Linked DNA regions of Arabidopsis thaliana. The protein of the gene in region 1 interacts with the protein of each later gene in a pairwise test. Each region holds a gene or a part of one and is shown on either strand. Other genes may lie near its edges.

Region 1 (7,082 bases):
AGAATCAAAGAATATTCGGGCTGATGAGTTTATCGGAAAAGAGAGTGAGTCGCCGGAGAATAAGTCTAACGCGAGTCCGGTTTCGGTTCTTGATCGAGATCTTTATGATTATCTAATCCTTGACGATGATTACTACTTCTCAGGTGAGTCTACGAAATAATATTCAAACATTTTTATCTCTCGAACAAATATTTGAACTTAATTAATTGCTTTTTGAACCTTCTTTGAAATTTTGCGAAAAGAATCATCTCATGTGAGTAGTTTCCTACTTTAACTGCAAATGAGGTAAAAATTTGGTCATTTGGTCAACATTTTAACCGATTCAGTACACTTTATTTGAAATACTAAATAATAAGATTATTCAAAATTTGACCAATATAAGAATTTTCCTTAAACGTTGGATTTATTTGAAAAATGATTAAATTTAACCAATATAAGAACATTTTCGCTTTTAACATTTTTCTTGATTTTACTGTAAAAAAAGCTGCGAAAATGAGACTTTCTCAACATTTTCGAGAAATTTTATTTTTATTTGCCCAATCATATTTTAAACGTCACTTTAATTTGAAAAATAAAACAGGAGGAGATTCAGAAAGTGCATCGGAGTTGTCAACAAAGCAAGTAGAGACAGCAACAAAATCTTCATGTTCTTCATCACCAGCAAAAACAAAAACAAGTACCAAGAAAGAAAACAACAATAGCACCAACAATGATTCAGAAGAGACAGAGTTTATCACAAAACTAATGAATATGCTCTCAGATCTGTCTGAAGAAGACATGAAGTCTTCCACTTGGGTTTCTACTTCGTCAACTAAACCCGTTGACTTTACTCAGGTCGAAGATTTTTGTGTCGAATTTGGTCAAGAGATTCTTGACCTTGTTATGGACCAGCTAGTTGATGAACTCTGTATCTAGTTTAAATTCCCAATTATCAGAAATATGTCGTTTTAAAATCTTGTAATCCAAATGTTAACCAGAGACTCACAACAATCGAAATTTTCATCACTCCATATTTTCTAAAAGTGTTATGCGGCCAATATAAGTTATTGACCAGAAAAATTATGGTTAACATTTATGATTAGTACTAAAGACTATAATGTACTCGTCTTAAATAGTCCTATAGACAAATATACCTATCCAAAACACAAGTATGTATATGGCGAATATCACCAAATAAGCACAAGGATAATCTTAGTGACTCGAATACTCGATCATAAGAATGAAATTAAATTCAAATTCGATATGACGAATTATCAAATGCATTATAAATACATGTAGTGGGTCCAAAAACGGTCAAATCGGTTTTCTTCTGAATTTTGGAGAGCTCCGTAACTTCGAAATACGTACTGTCTCCTTTATGTCTATTTCACATGCAAATCATGGTCTCCTTCTAACGTTACTTCTTTGACGTTTTTTTGTACTTTTCTGTGTTTTTTTTGGGGGGTTCACATGTAAAATTCAAGAACATTTTCCCACTCTAAATTATTTAAGTTTCGAATTATAATTATTTCATTTAGTCATAAACTATTTTTTTGCCAACGAAAAAGTGGTAAATATTGAAGGTCCTTGTATTCGAACTGGTGACCTCACAGAGTTGGTCACACGGCTCTATACAATTGAGCTGACGCGGCGTATTAGTAATACGTGTTTTTTAAAATGAACGGATATATTAGTGTGAACGCGTTATAACACGGTTTCATGTTTTCGGTATTTTTATCTGTTGGTAGCTGTCTTGCAAGAGAAGAAAAGAATAAAAATAACAAATTCTTTCTTTACAATTTACTTATGAACAAAATAAGTTTTATATATCACACAAATAACGCGGTGAAGTAATGTGGGACAAATGTGAATTGAAAGTTTTGGAATAAAGACTTTTGTTTAATTCTTGTTTATCGCCTGATTAATCGTTATGAAATATTCTTATTAACAGAATAAAGTAGCTAAAAGTATTCAACCAATTTGGTTTTGGACACCTATAACTATGAACAATATAATTCAAACTAGCATATCTAATTAATATCTATACAATTGTTTTATGCATGTACGTAAACTATTAAATGATTTATTAATTCTTATTCTTATCGTTTAGTTAATTCACATGTTACCTTATATTATATTTAGTAATTGCCTGCTCGTTTTACTCCCTCTCTATTTATTTTTCTTCCTCTAATATTGAAGGTTTATTTTTCTCCACCAGGATTTTTTTTGTTTTTAGAAGGATAAATTCATTTTCATACCACGATAACATATATCAAAATTTGAACATTTATCTTTCTTTTTGGAAATTTCAATAGTTCATATAAATATTATAAAACAAACATTAATTTAGATATATTATCTAAATTGATTTGCCTAACAAATTAACTAGCTAATTAACTTATGCTTAACACAAATAATGAGAACTTAGAAACCTTGATTATGATGATCATCATTATGATCTCTATTAAGCCTATTAAGCAAAGCATCGATGAGAGAATCTCTCTTCTGAGCCCTAGCTTCTTCTCTCAACCGTCTCTCTTCCTCTCTCTCCATCCACCTCCTTTCTGTGGCGGCTCTTTCCTCCTCTAGCTCCGCCATTCTCCTCCGCCACTCTTTCTCTCTCTTCTCCCTCTCTATCTCCTTCATCTCCCATGCATCTCTCCATTCCTTTTCCATCTTCACCGTTTGCCTCATAAACTCCTCCAATATATCTTTTAGTGTATTACCCGCAGTTTCAGCTTTCGTACCACTCGCAACGCCTTTTCCTTTTTTTGCACGTTTTCTTGGATTGGTCGAAGTACTAGTAGTAATCACTTCTGTCTCTCTTTTCTGTGTCTCTACTAAAGACAATAATTCCTCGTTGATATCTTGATTTGGTTCGTCAACTTCTTCTTCTTCATCATCAGATGAAAATTGATGATGTTTTCTCTTCGAGGAAGTGCTTGGTTCTGTGGCTTCTGACCACAGCATTCTTTGCATTCTTGCTTCAAAAATCGACTGAATCTCATTGTAGAATGGGAACTGCTGCCTAATAGCATCTGGCTCAGTGGTCTCACACGCCTGTCCCATGAATATTCATTATGTTATATAAACAATTATATGTAAACACGTAATAGTACCGACGCAAAATATTTTAGCTAACCAAGTATCTTAACTCGAAATCATATATCATAGGAAAACAAAAACACATGTTCATCATCTATATCACGTTTCTTTTACCTTAAATAAATGTGTGTATAGACTTTTTCAACTATCTTCATGTGTTCATCAGTAACGGTTCTTATTAAATCTTATGCACCCGTTATATAACGGTAATTATATTTTTATGGCATATTGTGTTACTTACTTACCATGTGATCAACGAACAAAAAGAGAGATATTATGGTATAACGGATCAAAATGTGAACATAGACAATATCATGATGAAAGCTCACCAATAAACGCGTAAAATTCTATTCTATAGCTCGTTACCATTAATGACAGGACAATATCTAAAAAACCTAGGCGATTAGGTTAAGCTCATTAATTGATGTATATATAATGTAGTTCACCTATACATACACCATAAACTAGGTTTCCATTTCAATATGCATAATATCAGTCTAACCACACAAACTAGTGATGAAATACATGATACACATAATTATAGTTTGTATATACTTGTAATCATGATCATACTAAACATTTATAGGTGTATATATCGGGACTATATATAGAGAGAATCATCAATAGGATTCTAAAGAGTTGAAGGGTAACCTTGTATCTAGTGACGAGGTTCTTCCACTTGCTCTTACATTGTTCTGCGCTTCGGACAAAACCCTTGTCGGCCATCTTAGCAGCCACGACTTCCCAAAGAAGCTTATTACGTTTGGTCTCCATGAAAGTTTGATCAAGTTCTTCTCTTATAGCCAAAAGCTCCTTTGTCTCCTCTATGCTCCACTGTGGGATTCTCTCCCCACCTCCTCCTCCTCCGCCGGGATCCATCGTCGCCGTGGTGCTCAGCGGCGGCGGAGGAAGCTGTTGCTGTTGGATCAAGTGATGATGAAGCTGATGGTGGTGGTGGTGATGTTGGAAAGGGTTACGTCGGTCCATTATTTGGAATCGAATTGTCTTTGTGACGTGAAGAGAAGAAATAAGAGGGAGATAATTTTATTTTTTTGTTGGGTTACTTATAAATGAAGAGAGGTTTCATTGAAAAAAAGAAGAGAAGACAGAGAGGAAGGAGAGAAAAGAGAAGAATCTAATTAATTTATAAGGATGTGTGAAAAGAAGGTGTGAAATCGTAGAGGGACGATAGAAGTGTAGTTTTTTGTTCTTTTCTCTAATTAAAATTATTAAGATGAGATTTTTTAATAATTATTGAATATACTAGAACTTATAGAATTATTTAGTTGAATAAAATACGAACACGAATGACTCTTTTGGTGAAAAGGACACAATTCGTGATTACATTAAAAATAATAAAGCTTAGATATCCCTTTTTCGGATGATAAACTCTAGATTTAAAGCAGCTAACTAAATAATTCATACTTTTTTTTTCTTCGTATTCTAGAGTTTAAAAATAGCAATCTCAAACAATTACAGGGGTAACTTGCATCAGTTAAGAATATCTTAAGTAAAAACAATCGCCTTAATCTTAGAGTAAAATCAAACAATATGTTTTTTTTTGACAGATTGATTATTTGTGTGCATCATTCTAAACACGCTTTCAAATTTGTAAAGTTGTAGAACTATATTTTTACTGTATGGTTATTGTTTTTCCTTGATGATGATTTTGTGACCAAGCTCAAGTACTCAACTGTCTCGTATTTTTTGCATTTGGTAGTTATTCGTTAATAATTTGTCCCAATACATATAAATGTTGCGTTAATATTTCGTCACGCTTACGAGTTACGAGTCACAATCCGATTTTTATTCTTCAATCCGATTTAGCCTTTATGGTCAATTGACCCACTAGATTTTCCTCATCCCATAATTCTTGTATTTTTCTTTTGAAAAATTCATCGTAACAAAAGTAACCTAATGGTTGACAGACAAAATATATTAAATAAGCTATTGGATCAATATGCTTTTAGAAGTTTAGATTAGCCCCGTGTCATGGAGGAAGAGATCAGATATAAACAAAGAATTAGAGAATTGTTGTTAGCAAGTTTTACATAATAGATACCTAACGTTCCTATCAAAATAAAAAAGAAGAAGAATTAAGTTACAGAAAACAAGACTACCGTTATGATTAGCTAAGAAATTAATTTGATTGGAATTGTAAATTCCCCCAAGAAAAAAAGAAGACTATTCATTTATGGATTGTATGATATTTAGTATATGAATAAATGGAAATCGTTATATTCGCAGTCGGCACAAAACAAATAATGCGTACGAACAGAGAAAATGTACTCTTGTTCTGAAATGGTTTGGATCCAGTGCAATATACAACTGTCAGATTCCCAAACACACATATGGTAGTACATATTTAGAAGCCGCGTCATTGCAATGATATAACAAGTAAAACGTACGGTGAATGAAACTTGTAGGAGTAAATATTTTTTATTTGTATCTAAAGAAAGATTCGTCGGGGTTGTATTTTTGGCTCTGATATGTGTAAGAAATACTAGTACTACTCAGTAGTAAAAAAAAAAACAAAAAAAAGTCAGCGAAGTGGTCCAAATAGCGATGAAGCGTGTTGAAAGTAAATCAAAATCTTACATGACATGCACTAGACTTCGCTCCCACCTGTCATCCCACGTGGATTCACACCTTATTTATTTATACTAAATTAATAATAATGTCGACTACTCTAGTGAATGATCTTTAATTTTTCTAATTCTTATGTTCAAAATTTGTGGTCTTTAATTATTTAAAAGAGAAATTGTGAATGAAGGAATTTTCTGTGAACAAAAGAAAGAATAATCAGTATTTTTTAATTTTATTTAAATGGAATCAAATAATCAGCAACGCGGAGTGTTGTTATATTCCACGTGTAAACGCCCACCATGTTTGTCCACGTGGCCATCTCTCTCTCTGTCTTTCACTTTTTATTTTAACAAAGATTTTTGTTGGCTGATGTTTATCCGCTCAATACAAGTAGGCCACCTCATCATCCTTTTTATTTCCCATCCAAATTTTTGCTTAAAAGAATTGAAGTCTTAAAGCAAAGAACAAAAAAAAAACGTCAGCCAAAAGCATATATACAAAAATCAGCCTATTCGTGTTATTTAGAACTTTTGAGGTGAATGTTGTTTAGGGTATCGCTCCGGATTATTCGGAAATAGTAATAAGTTTAGTCTTTTACTTTTGCCGTAACTTGGTGAATGCACATGACTTCCATTTTTGAATTTGGAGTCACTGCAACAATACATTGTTGTTACAAATACCAAAAACCTTTCTCACTGTTTGTAATACTGCTGGTTTTGAACCAAGACCATGAAAATGATATTTCAGTTGATTGCAGAAACTCTTCTTGTTCTTGAAAACATTCAAATATTTGACTAAACTAAACTCGATCTGTGTTTATTTTTTTGAATCTATAAATCATACTAACTTTATGAATGAATATTACTAATTCGTACATGTGGAGATATGCAAGTAATTTGCCTAACCAGAACAATCAAAGAGGAACATACATTAGTCTGTTTTTTCTTCTTCTTATTATTTGACAAGTAACAACAATTATTCCATGTCAACATCAGCACGTGAGGGTTGAAAAGATTTTAGTGAAGGAATTAAACGGGACAAGGTCAAGAAGATTGAAGAATGTGAGAAAAACGTAGAGATTTGGATTTTTTAATCAACAAAAGAAAAAGGTTCTTCAAATTTCGCTACTATGATTAATCAATTTGAATTACATTTTGACATATTGTTAAACGTTGATTTAGTCTTTCCAAATCTGTTGACAATGTTTACTATTAAACAAATATTGAAGCTTTTAGCAAAGAGATATAAGGAGAGACTTTACTTCACTAGTCGTCAGTCATTACTAACTAAACCGGCATCATTTGGTGGTATGTATTTCCCTTAAAAACCTTACCAAAATGCAACCAAAATAAATTAAAAAAACCATAAGCACATATTCTGCTTCTAAAAGATTCCAAAAAAGCTAGCAGATT
Region 2 (8,533 bases), on another chromosome or scaffold:
TGTGGGCCAATATGTGAAACATGATGAGATTTAAATGGTTATAAATAATGTATTATCATTGATCAAAAATAAATCAGTAAACGTTCACGTCACACAATTAGTCAAACATAACAACTTAATAATTGCAAATTGCATTTCATAAGAATAAAACTTTCTAATCATAAAGAGCTGAATGTTTCCTCTTTATTTTCTACAATAATCTTCTTGGTGGCACTGGCATGGTTAGGTGCAATGCAATAAAGCCAAAACAATTTCTTCATCGTTAGGTACTTTGATTTCACCATTGTGCGAGAAAACAGCATGTTGGTTTCCATTGATATAAAACGACAACCACTCTTCAATCGTAAAATAAAAATGTTCTAAGAATGAGTCATCATTTCTATTCGAAGCAAAAGTTCATCCGAACCCAAATCCTTAATATACAATTGGATACGTTAAAGTTACAGTATCCTAGGATTTGTCAATCTTATTAAAAAAAACTAAGATTGCTTTAAGAAAATTATAGGTTTTCTCCACTTATAAAGTTTAACTTTTATAATCTCTCTCTCAACGAACTATGAAAACAACATTAGTAAATAGTAATATAGAAGTCTAGAGAAAAAAGTTGAGACGAAAAGGGTAAGGAAACACTCTGAAAGCAGCTTCCCATCTCTATTTGATCGACAGAGATACGTACGTACACAAACTGGTTAGAAGGAGATAGATTCAGACAAGAGAACCAAACCGAGAATTTGAGCTTAGAAAAGTTAAGGAAACATCAAGTCTTTACTTTCTCAAGATGGCTCTCAATTTCTTTTGCTTCACGTACATGTAATCTACGTATTCTTCAGCTCTACCGTCTCTTTCTCTCTCTCTTGAACTTTCGGTAGTTGAAATACTGCTGTTGAGTATTTCAGAAACCTAACCCTCAAAATCAATTAACTTTATTGCACTCTATATTTATCATCTTCAACCACAACAATCTTCTGTTTCTTTGGAAGCAACTAACTACAAAGAACATCTTCACGACTAGAAAGACACATACCCTTCTGTCTTAAGGACGAGACCAGAAGCTTCTTCTATCGGCTTTGTAATGGTCTACAAAGGATAAGAAAAAACCAAATCCAAACTAAAGCTATGCATTTTCCACTTGTTTCGGCTTGGAACAAGAGAAGGAGAAGCAAATCATATGATACGGATCCATGTACGTTCCTTTTCTCCATCATCTTCGCCAGATGGCATAAAAGTATGTTACTGTTTTTGTTTTTCGACATTACTACTACTGAATATAAAGGGTTTAGGTAAAACTGAATCACCATCTGTTTGAAACTAACCTTCTTCTCAGGGGTCTACAGAACAGCAGAATGCTGGCAAATCGAAGATCAGGCTTCTCAGCCAAGGAAGCGAAGATTCGGGTCATCAGTTTATACCCTCAAGGAGATGGAGGAGGCCACAAGTTCTTTCAGTGATGAGAATCTCCTCGGTAAAGGAGGCTTTGGCCGAGTTTACCAAGGCACTTTAAAAACAGGAGAGGTAGGAACTATATAGCTTCATTTATGTGATTTACAGGCTTTGTAATGTTACAAAAACTTTTCTATCGAAGAGGAGCTATTAGAGTAGGATACATATCTTAATCCCTTGTTATTTGAAGGTTGTTGCAATCAAGAAGATGGATTTACCTACGTTTAAAAAGGCTGACGGAGAAAGAGAATTTCGTGTGGAGGTGGATATCTTGAGCAGACTCGACCACCCAAATCTGGTCTCTTTGATCGGCTATTGTGCAGATGGGAAACACCGGTTCCTAGTATATGAATATATGCAAAATGGAAACCTGCAAGATCATTTGAATGGTAAGTCAACAAAATAAGAGCCCAATCCACTAAAACCAATTGGCGACTAAACCGCGTCTTTATCACAGGAATCAAAGAAGCAAAAATAAGCTGGCCAATAAGGCTCAGAATTGCACTAGGAGCAGCAAAAGGACTCGCGTATCTCCATTCAAGTTCTTCTGTTGGGATTCCAATTGTTCACAGAGACTTCAAATCCACCAACGTTCTACTAGACTCCAATTATAATGCAAAGGTTCTTATACAGTTAATAGAAATGGAGGGTTTATGCAGCACTAATACCAAGCATAGACTAAAACTAAGATGTGAGTGTAATCCTTGCAGATATCCGACTTTGGACTAGCAAAGTTGATGCCAGAAGGAAAGGATACTTGTGTCACAGCAAGAGTTCTAGGAACATTCGGCTATTTCGACCCAGAATATACATCGGTAAAGATTCTTACTTATATTTCACACATGATTCTCTTCCGATAGGGTAAACTAGACACTACTTAAGAAAAATTAAAACTTGCTAGTAATGACATAAAATAGCCTGGAAAAGGAACTTTAATCACACTCACATATCAGAGCCAATAGGCAACGGAGGACAATTTTTAGCATAATTTTTGTTCCCTTCTTCTGTGGCAGACAGGTAAACTTACTCTACAAAGCGACATTTATGCATTTGGGGTTGTGCTGCTAGAACTACTTACTGGACGCAGAGCAGTTGACTTAACTCAGGGCCCAAATGAACAGAACCTGGTGCTACAGGTAAAATGGACCTTTTAGGTTCTATGATTCACAAACACAAAAAGTTCAAAGATCAGGAAACTTAACATAGGAATAAACTGATCAATTATCTCTACGTTTCAGGTTAGGAATATACTGAATGATAGAAAGAAATTGCGTAAGGTTATAGATGTCGAGCTGCCTCGGAATTCATACAGCATGGAAGCTATAACCATGTTTGCTGATCTAGCATCACGGTGCATCCGTATAGAGAGTAAAGAGCGACCTTCAGTGATGGATTGTGTTAAGGAACTGCAACTAATTATCTACACAAACTCGAAGGGTGGTTTGGGTGGGACGATTCCTACATTCAGAAGGCTCTAGACACTGAATTCTTCGAAACAAGTAAAATGGATTACTGTCATTTTTCCTAAAATGAGAGGTCACTGATAAAAAAACACTTGATAAATATAAACAAACAATACTAATTATGAATTACCGGATAATTTCAATTCAACTTCCAGCTAGGAAACTTTGATCAAGCGATATTATTTGGATATATATACTATAATTTCACTAAGAAAATCAAGCACTAGATGTATCCGTATAGTATGTTGTATTTGCTGCTATGAATGTTTTGCTTTAAGAGAAATGAGTACATAAATTCAGGGGTGTAGTCTTGTTTTTTCTTTCCTTCTTTCGCCTAATGCCTAAAGAATTAACCACATGTCTATGAACAAGAAATACAATCGCTGCCAATACAGGAAGCAGATAACAAAGATAAGAGTGTGTGTGGAGTACCTCTACTAAGATCATATAAACAATAGGTCGAAGCAAACGGGATTATCAACCCGACCCTTGGTCATGTCACATTTAGCTCCTACATAATAAAGCCAATCACAATGTTTGTTATAAATTCAGAAAAGGTTGAGAAGAAGACTAAAAGCTAATTGGTACACTGATGGAAAAACTGTACCCATGTTTACACATTTGCAGAGGAGGTCAGCTCATTATCAGACCCCACCATTTCTACTATAGGATTGGTGCATAGTGGAAGAAGTTTCTTCCGCATCAAATGCTTACGCCGCTGTAACATCAGAAGGACCAAAACTGTATCTGTCTTAACAACCTCGTATCCTGCCTTCTTGTACATATTGAAAGGAGCCTCATCAACCATCCTACAATGCAAGTATACATCTTTTGATGGACTAATCTGAGATATCAGTTCCTCACTCGCCTTCAACAAATGCCACCCAATTCCTCTCCTTCTAAGATCCTCTTTGACAGTCATGTTACAGATATAAGGTGATTCCTTAGGAGGAGTTGGAGAAGGAGGAGAAGCATTAGCGCCTCGTTTCTCCAAACAAACCTCAACAGTTCCAGCCATCACAGCCTCCTCCTCTCCATCATCACTAAACTCATCAACTTTTTTCCTAAAGAAACCAACTAAAGTAACTGCGTGTGGCAACACTTCTCTTCTCTCAATCAAATACTGCTTAATCAAAAACCGTAACACAGACTGATAACCAGAAGGTAATAACATCGATTCACCAAATGACTCAGCCAATAGATGCACCGTTGAATCCATCTCTTCATGTCTCATAACTCGAACCCACATCGATCCAGATTCAAGCTCTTGAAAATACGCAAATCCTTCAAGAGTTTTAAGCTTCTCTAACTCATCGTTACTCAAAAACCTCCCGGTACGAAACGATTCCTCTAGAAACGCGTAATTCCCGGTCGATTTAGAGTTTTCTTCTCCAGTTTCTGTAGCTGTCGAAACTGAAGAAGGAGGGAAAGCGAATCTGAGATTGGAGCGGTGAGATTTACACGAGTAGAGTAATGGATATCTATGTGAAGAAGACGAGAAGCCAAACTTCGTTGATTGGGTTGGTTTGAGAGAATCAACAGAGAAAGCTAGTGAGATGCTTAAAGCCGCCATTGACACACACACACACGATTTTCTCCGATTTGATTGTGGTTCAGTGTTCGCTAATCTGTTTATAACGAAATAAAATGGATAAAGTAACAGTCATACACTAATCTTTAAAACGCCGCGTTTTGAACTAATCATGAAGCTCAGTAGTTATTGGGCCCTTATGGCCCATATACTGATATAAAAATGAGGAAACTGTTATAAGCCAGTAGCTATTTGGGCTTAAGGCCCATATTGCGATATATATAGTTTTAATTTTTCCGAAGTTCGGCGATTTCAGAAGACGGAGGAGGAGCGAGGACGGCCGCCATGGATCCAGCAGGAGCATCGGTGGCCAGCGCAATCGGAGGAGAAGGAGAGAAATTCGCGGTGGGGAATATTTATTCAGTGAAGGTGATCACCGGAGATGAGTTCAGAGGGATCGTCATGGCTTACGACCCCATCCCCAACTTCGTCTTTTTTGATATCCTTAATTTCTTTAATTGTTTGTTTCATCAAAATTTGAGATTTAGGTATTTTCAATGTCTTGACCTGAATTGTGTTATCCTTGACGAGTTATTGGTTATTACAAGAGGGTACAAAACCTAGACCTGGGCATTTGAAGAACACTCGGATGGTGAATGCGAGTTTTATTACAGGGCTTTCGTATTTAGGCAAAACTGAAGATCCACTTGATTCAGACAACTTTTCTGTTGATCTTAATGGTCTCCGAGCTAAAGAGGCACTTGCTATCAGGTGATAAGATATTTTGTTGTTGAATCCTTTCAAAATGCAATTTTTATTGCTATTTGCTTGTTTTGAGCTTACTTGGGAAAACGTATTGAGCACAGGCAAGCGGAAGCAGATGCTGAAAGAATGGGAGTTGGTGTTACCGCTGAGGCTCAGAGCATCTTCGACGCGTTGTCTAAGACGTAAGGATCTTCTCTTTTTATACGTTTTCGGATCGAAAAATAAGCTAATCTCTAAGAAGGAAACACAGCTTAGAGTATACGGTAGAGAGGTGGGACGAGATCGTAATCTAATGTTGTTTAGTTGAACTATTAGTTCTTTGTAAACAATTGCTTGGGTTGGAGGATTTTGTTTTGTGCGTCTAATGTGTTATTCCCAAAGATAAATTGTTAGGATCTGGACATGATTTAGTGTTGTTTTGCTCTTGGTTTCCGGTGATGCTAGTTTGCAACTATATATATGTAAAGTTTCTATGTTTGTGGTTGTTGTAGATTACATATGTTGTGGGCTCTAGTGTCAAGTATCTTTAGTCTTCTTTGTGATACTGATACAGTTAAGAAGCTGTCTAGATACATAGTTTTAGACTACATAAATCCTTAAACTTTCTTTGTTTGAATTTGCTTTTTCTCTTTCGAATGAATCACATGTGAATTATTTTCCTTTTAGGCTTCCTGTGCAATGGGAAAACTCAGACATTCTGGTGATGAAAGAGGTACGCGTTCGTAGCCCGTATCTTTCAGATTGTGTCTTTGGAGGAACTGATGCTGCCAACAACCGAGTCAAGAAAGTGGTAAGCGTCACTTTCAGTTCATTGTGTAATGCCAATTAAGCCTCTGGTGTTATATTAGTCATTTGCATTCAATCGTGTAACGTTGATCAAGCCTTGGGTGTGATAGTAATGCAATTTTGCTTTTATCGCAGCTTGAGCTGGAAAGACGAAGGTTGCAACTCTTTGGCACATGAGGCTAGTGAAAAGAGTCGGTCAGTGAAATAGCGAGAAAGGGTTCGTTGCTACTAACCCGAAAGGCGTCTATAGATCTGATCGACCAGCGAAAAGCGGATATGTTTGCTTTTCGCATGTTGTTGTCTTTACTTAGAATCTGCTTGTCCTTGTAAAAGCAGATTAGAGATTTCTTGAGTTACAGCCTTACAGGGATTGAAATTTGGACTAATTTCACCCTGGTTATTGACAAGAACAGTGAGGTCTTGTCTTGTCCACTTTTTACCAGGGCTTGGTTTATTTATCGCCTGGAACTGTAAACTATTCTGAAATGTTGAACTACTTTTTAGTGACTTCTCCGGTAGATTTTTACATCTCGTGTGCTCTAGAACTGAGTTCCTTGATCAATGCAAAAGTTATAAGAAATATTTTTCTGTTGATTGTTAGTATTGAACTGTGTATAGATTCCAATGATGATCATAATAGACCGTGGTGATGTATAAAACCATCTTATTCGATACACAACATATACAACTATGGACACAACTACTTTGCGTTTGGGTGATCAAGCGTGAGCTAACTTGTTGATTAGAAACCAACATTGATGCTACATGCGAATGAAATTTTACGTTACGACTAAGCTAACTCTGGATAAGCGCTTGCATGAGGAGATGGAGATATAACAATGATCACTCAGGTTGCTTGATATCATTTGAATCAAAGCTTTAAGAATGTTGTAAATTGAATCCAAAAACTAGTAAGACAATGTGTTAATTCAACATTGGAACTTATAAGTATCATAGATCGACGCGAGAGTTCTGCTTCTAACAGATACTTATCACCAAAACCTTAACCTATCTTTAGTGCAAAACACCACTAAACTATGAGCCACAAAAATTATTAAGAAGGCAACAAAAACCCTACTAAGAAGCCAAAGGAAACAATCCACACACTTGCTTCTAATCTTCTACTTGTTGAGTATTTCGCTGAGATTGAGTTGCTTTCTTTAGCAATCCACTACTAACACAAGCCTGAAAACACAACCATTTACCAGCAAGAAGACACCACCACAGCAACAGTGTAACATTACTGAACTCAAGATGAAAAGAGACTAACCTGAAGAGCTCTCTTACCACATGAACGAGAATTGTGCCCTGCTTGACCACATTTATTACAATGTATTGTGCGCTTGCTAAGTTTCCCCTTTTTCTTAGGTGGAGACACATTCTTTCCTTTCCTCTTTCGCTTCTTCGATGGAGACTCACAACAAGTACTTATCAAAACAAGAATGACCAAAATGGTATTTTCTTTGGATTAGTTTATAATTTGAGCACTTTATATACCTTAAGCTTCTTCACATAATCCGGATCATAATCTGGATCATCACAGTACTTAGCACGTTTTCTTTTGTTATTATCAGACGTTATCGTGATCATCCATGGATCATCACACGTTGCACGTGTTCTTTTGTTATTTTCAGACGTAATCTTGATCATCGATGGATCATCACACTTAGCACGTTTTCGTTTGTTATTATCAGATGGCGCAGTATGTTGCTCAGCCTCGGGAGGGATGGTTAGCTTAGTCCCAGCTGAAAGGTAGACGCTGAAACCAAGAAGAAGATTCGGGTGTTTTTTCATGAGTCCCTACACCTTTGAAATGAGACTAGCTTCATCAACTCTACAAAGAGACTAGTAACTTCAGAGTTAATTCATAATGTGATGTTTTGTTGTTTAGCAGAATTGCGAGTTGAAGTTTAGCAGAATTCTAAAGGTAAGGAGAGATTCATGGTTAGGAGGAAGACTTTGATAATAATGCCAGGGAGAGATTCAATTTTTTTGTGTGTTTGCAACTTAAAATCTAGATCTTCCAAGTTATTTTATGTTTTAAATTTTTGATAACTTAAGTGGATGATTAACTTTGGTGTGAATTAAAACATAAAATAAATTTTGGTTCGATCTGGTTATGAACTTCATAATGTTTCTGAATTGAACCGAATTGAATATTTGGTTTTTCTATTCAAAAGAAGATTATTTATCTCTTTATTCATTGTAGGTACGTAAAATAAAATAAAATATATATTAATCAAGGAGAAGGAGGTGAAAGAGTAATAGGATTACAACAACAACGAGGAATGTAAGGTCGTTTAATAGGGGGAAGATCATCAACCTCAGAAGGAGGATATAGGCAGCTACCATCTTTATAAGCCAATAATGCACACCATTTGTTACATTCTGGATCTTGAAATGTCGCGTTACAATTTTCAAAGCATGTTGGAATCACAAGCGTTGCCGCACTTATTCCTATTTCTGCGATATCATCATATATAAGAAGTAATTAAAACTGCAAAAAAAAATACTATGAATAAGTAAATATTGTAATAATTGTATTATC

What was found. Proteins that work in one complex are often made in the same cells at the same time.
Region 2: the proteins of AT5G01380 (region 1) and AT1G24040 interact in a two-hybrid assay, tested with the Arabidopsis thaliana proteins (one large-scale study listed by BioGRID).

Annotation. Positions count from the first base shown.
Region 1 is NC_003076.8:153,381-160,462, forward strand, and holds AT5G01380 (Homeodomain-like superfamily protein), read right to left. Parts: upstream 4,222-7,082; 5' UTR 4,072-4,221; coding exon 3,736-4,071; intron 3,040-3,735; coding exon 2,404-3,039; 3' UTR 2,230-2,403; downstream 1-2,229. Other genes in the region: ACI1 (ALC-interacting protein 1), read left to right, coding at 1-143, 581-915. UniProt on the Arabidopsis thaliana protein: Probable transcription factor that binds specifically to the core DNA sequence 5'-GTTAC-3'.
Region 2 is NC_003070.9:8,502,278-8,510,810, forward strand, and holds AT1G24040 (Acyl-CoA N-acyltransferases (NAT) superfamily protein), read right to left. Parts: upstream 4,519-8,533; 5' UTR 4,477-4,518; coding exon 3,517-4,476; 3' UTR 3,511-3,516; exon of another isoform or gene 3,415-3,510; 3' UTR 3,336-3,414; intron 3,184-3,335; exon of another isoform or gene 2,919-3,183; coding exon of another isoform or gene 2,679-2,918; intron 2,595-2,678; coding exon of another isoform or gene 2,454-2,594; intron 2,301-2,453; coding exon of another isoform or gene 2,151-2,300; intron 2,062-2,150; coding exon of another isoform or gene 1,898-2,061; intron 1,830-1,897; coding exon of another isoform or gene 1,631-1,829; 3' UTR 1,513-1,630; downstream 1-1,512. Other genes in the region: AT1G24030 (Protein kinase superfamily protein), read left to right, coding at 1,117-1,225, 1,325-1,512, 1,631-1,829, 1,898-2,061, 2,151-2,255, 2,454-2,576, 2,679-2,918; AT1G24050 (RNA-processing, Lsm domain-containing protein), read left to right, coding at 4,780-4,933, 5,040-5,205, 5,301-5,381, 5,866-5,989, 6,121-6,162; AT1G24060 (uncharacterized protein), read right to left, coding at 7,459-7,779; AT1G24062 (Cysteine-rich protein), read right to left, coding at 8,225-8,448. UniProt on the Arabidopsis thaliana protein: Protein acetyltransferase with dual specificity triggering both N-alpha-acetylation (NTA), with a large spectrum of modified N-termini, including methionine, alanine, serine and to a lower extent threonine and valine as substrates, and epsilon-lysine acetylation (KA).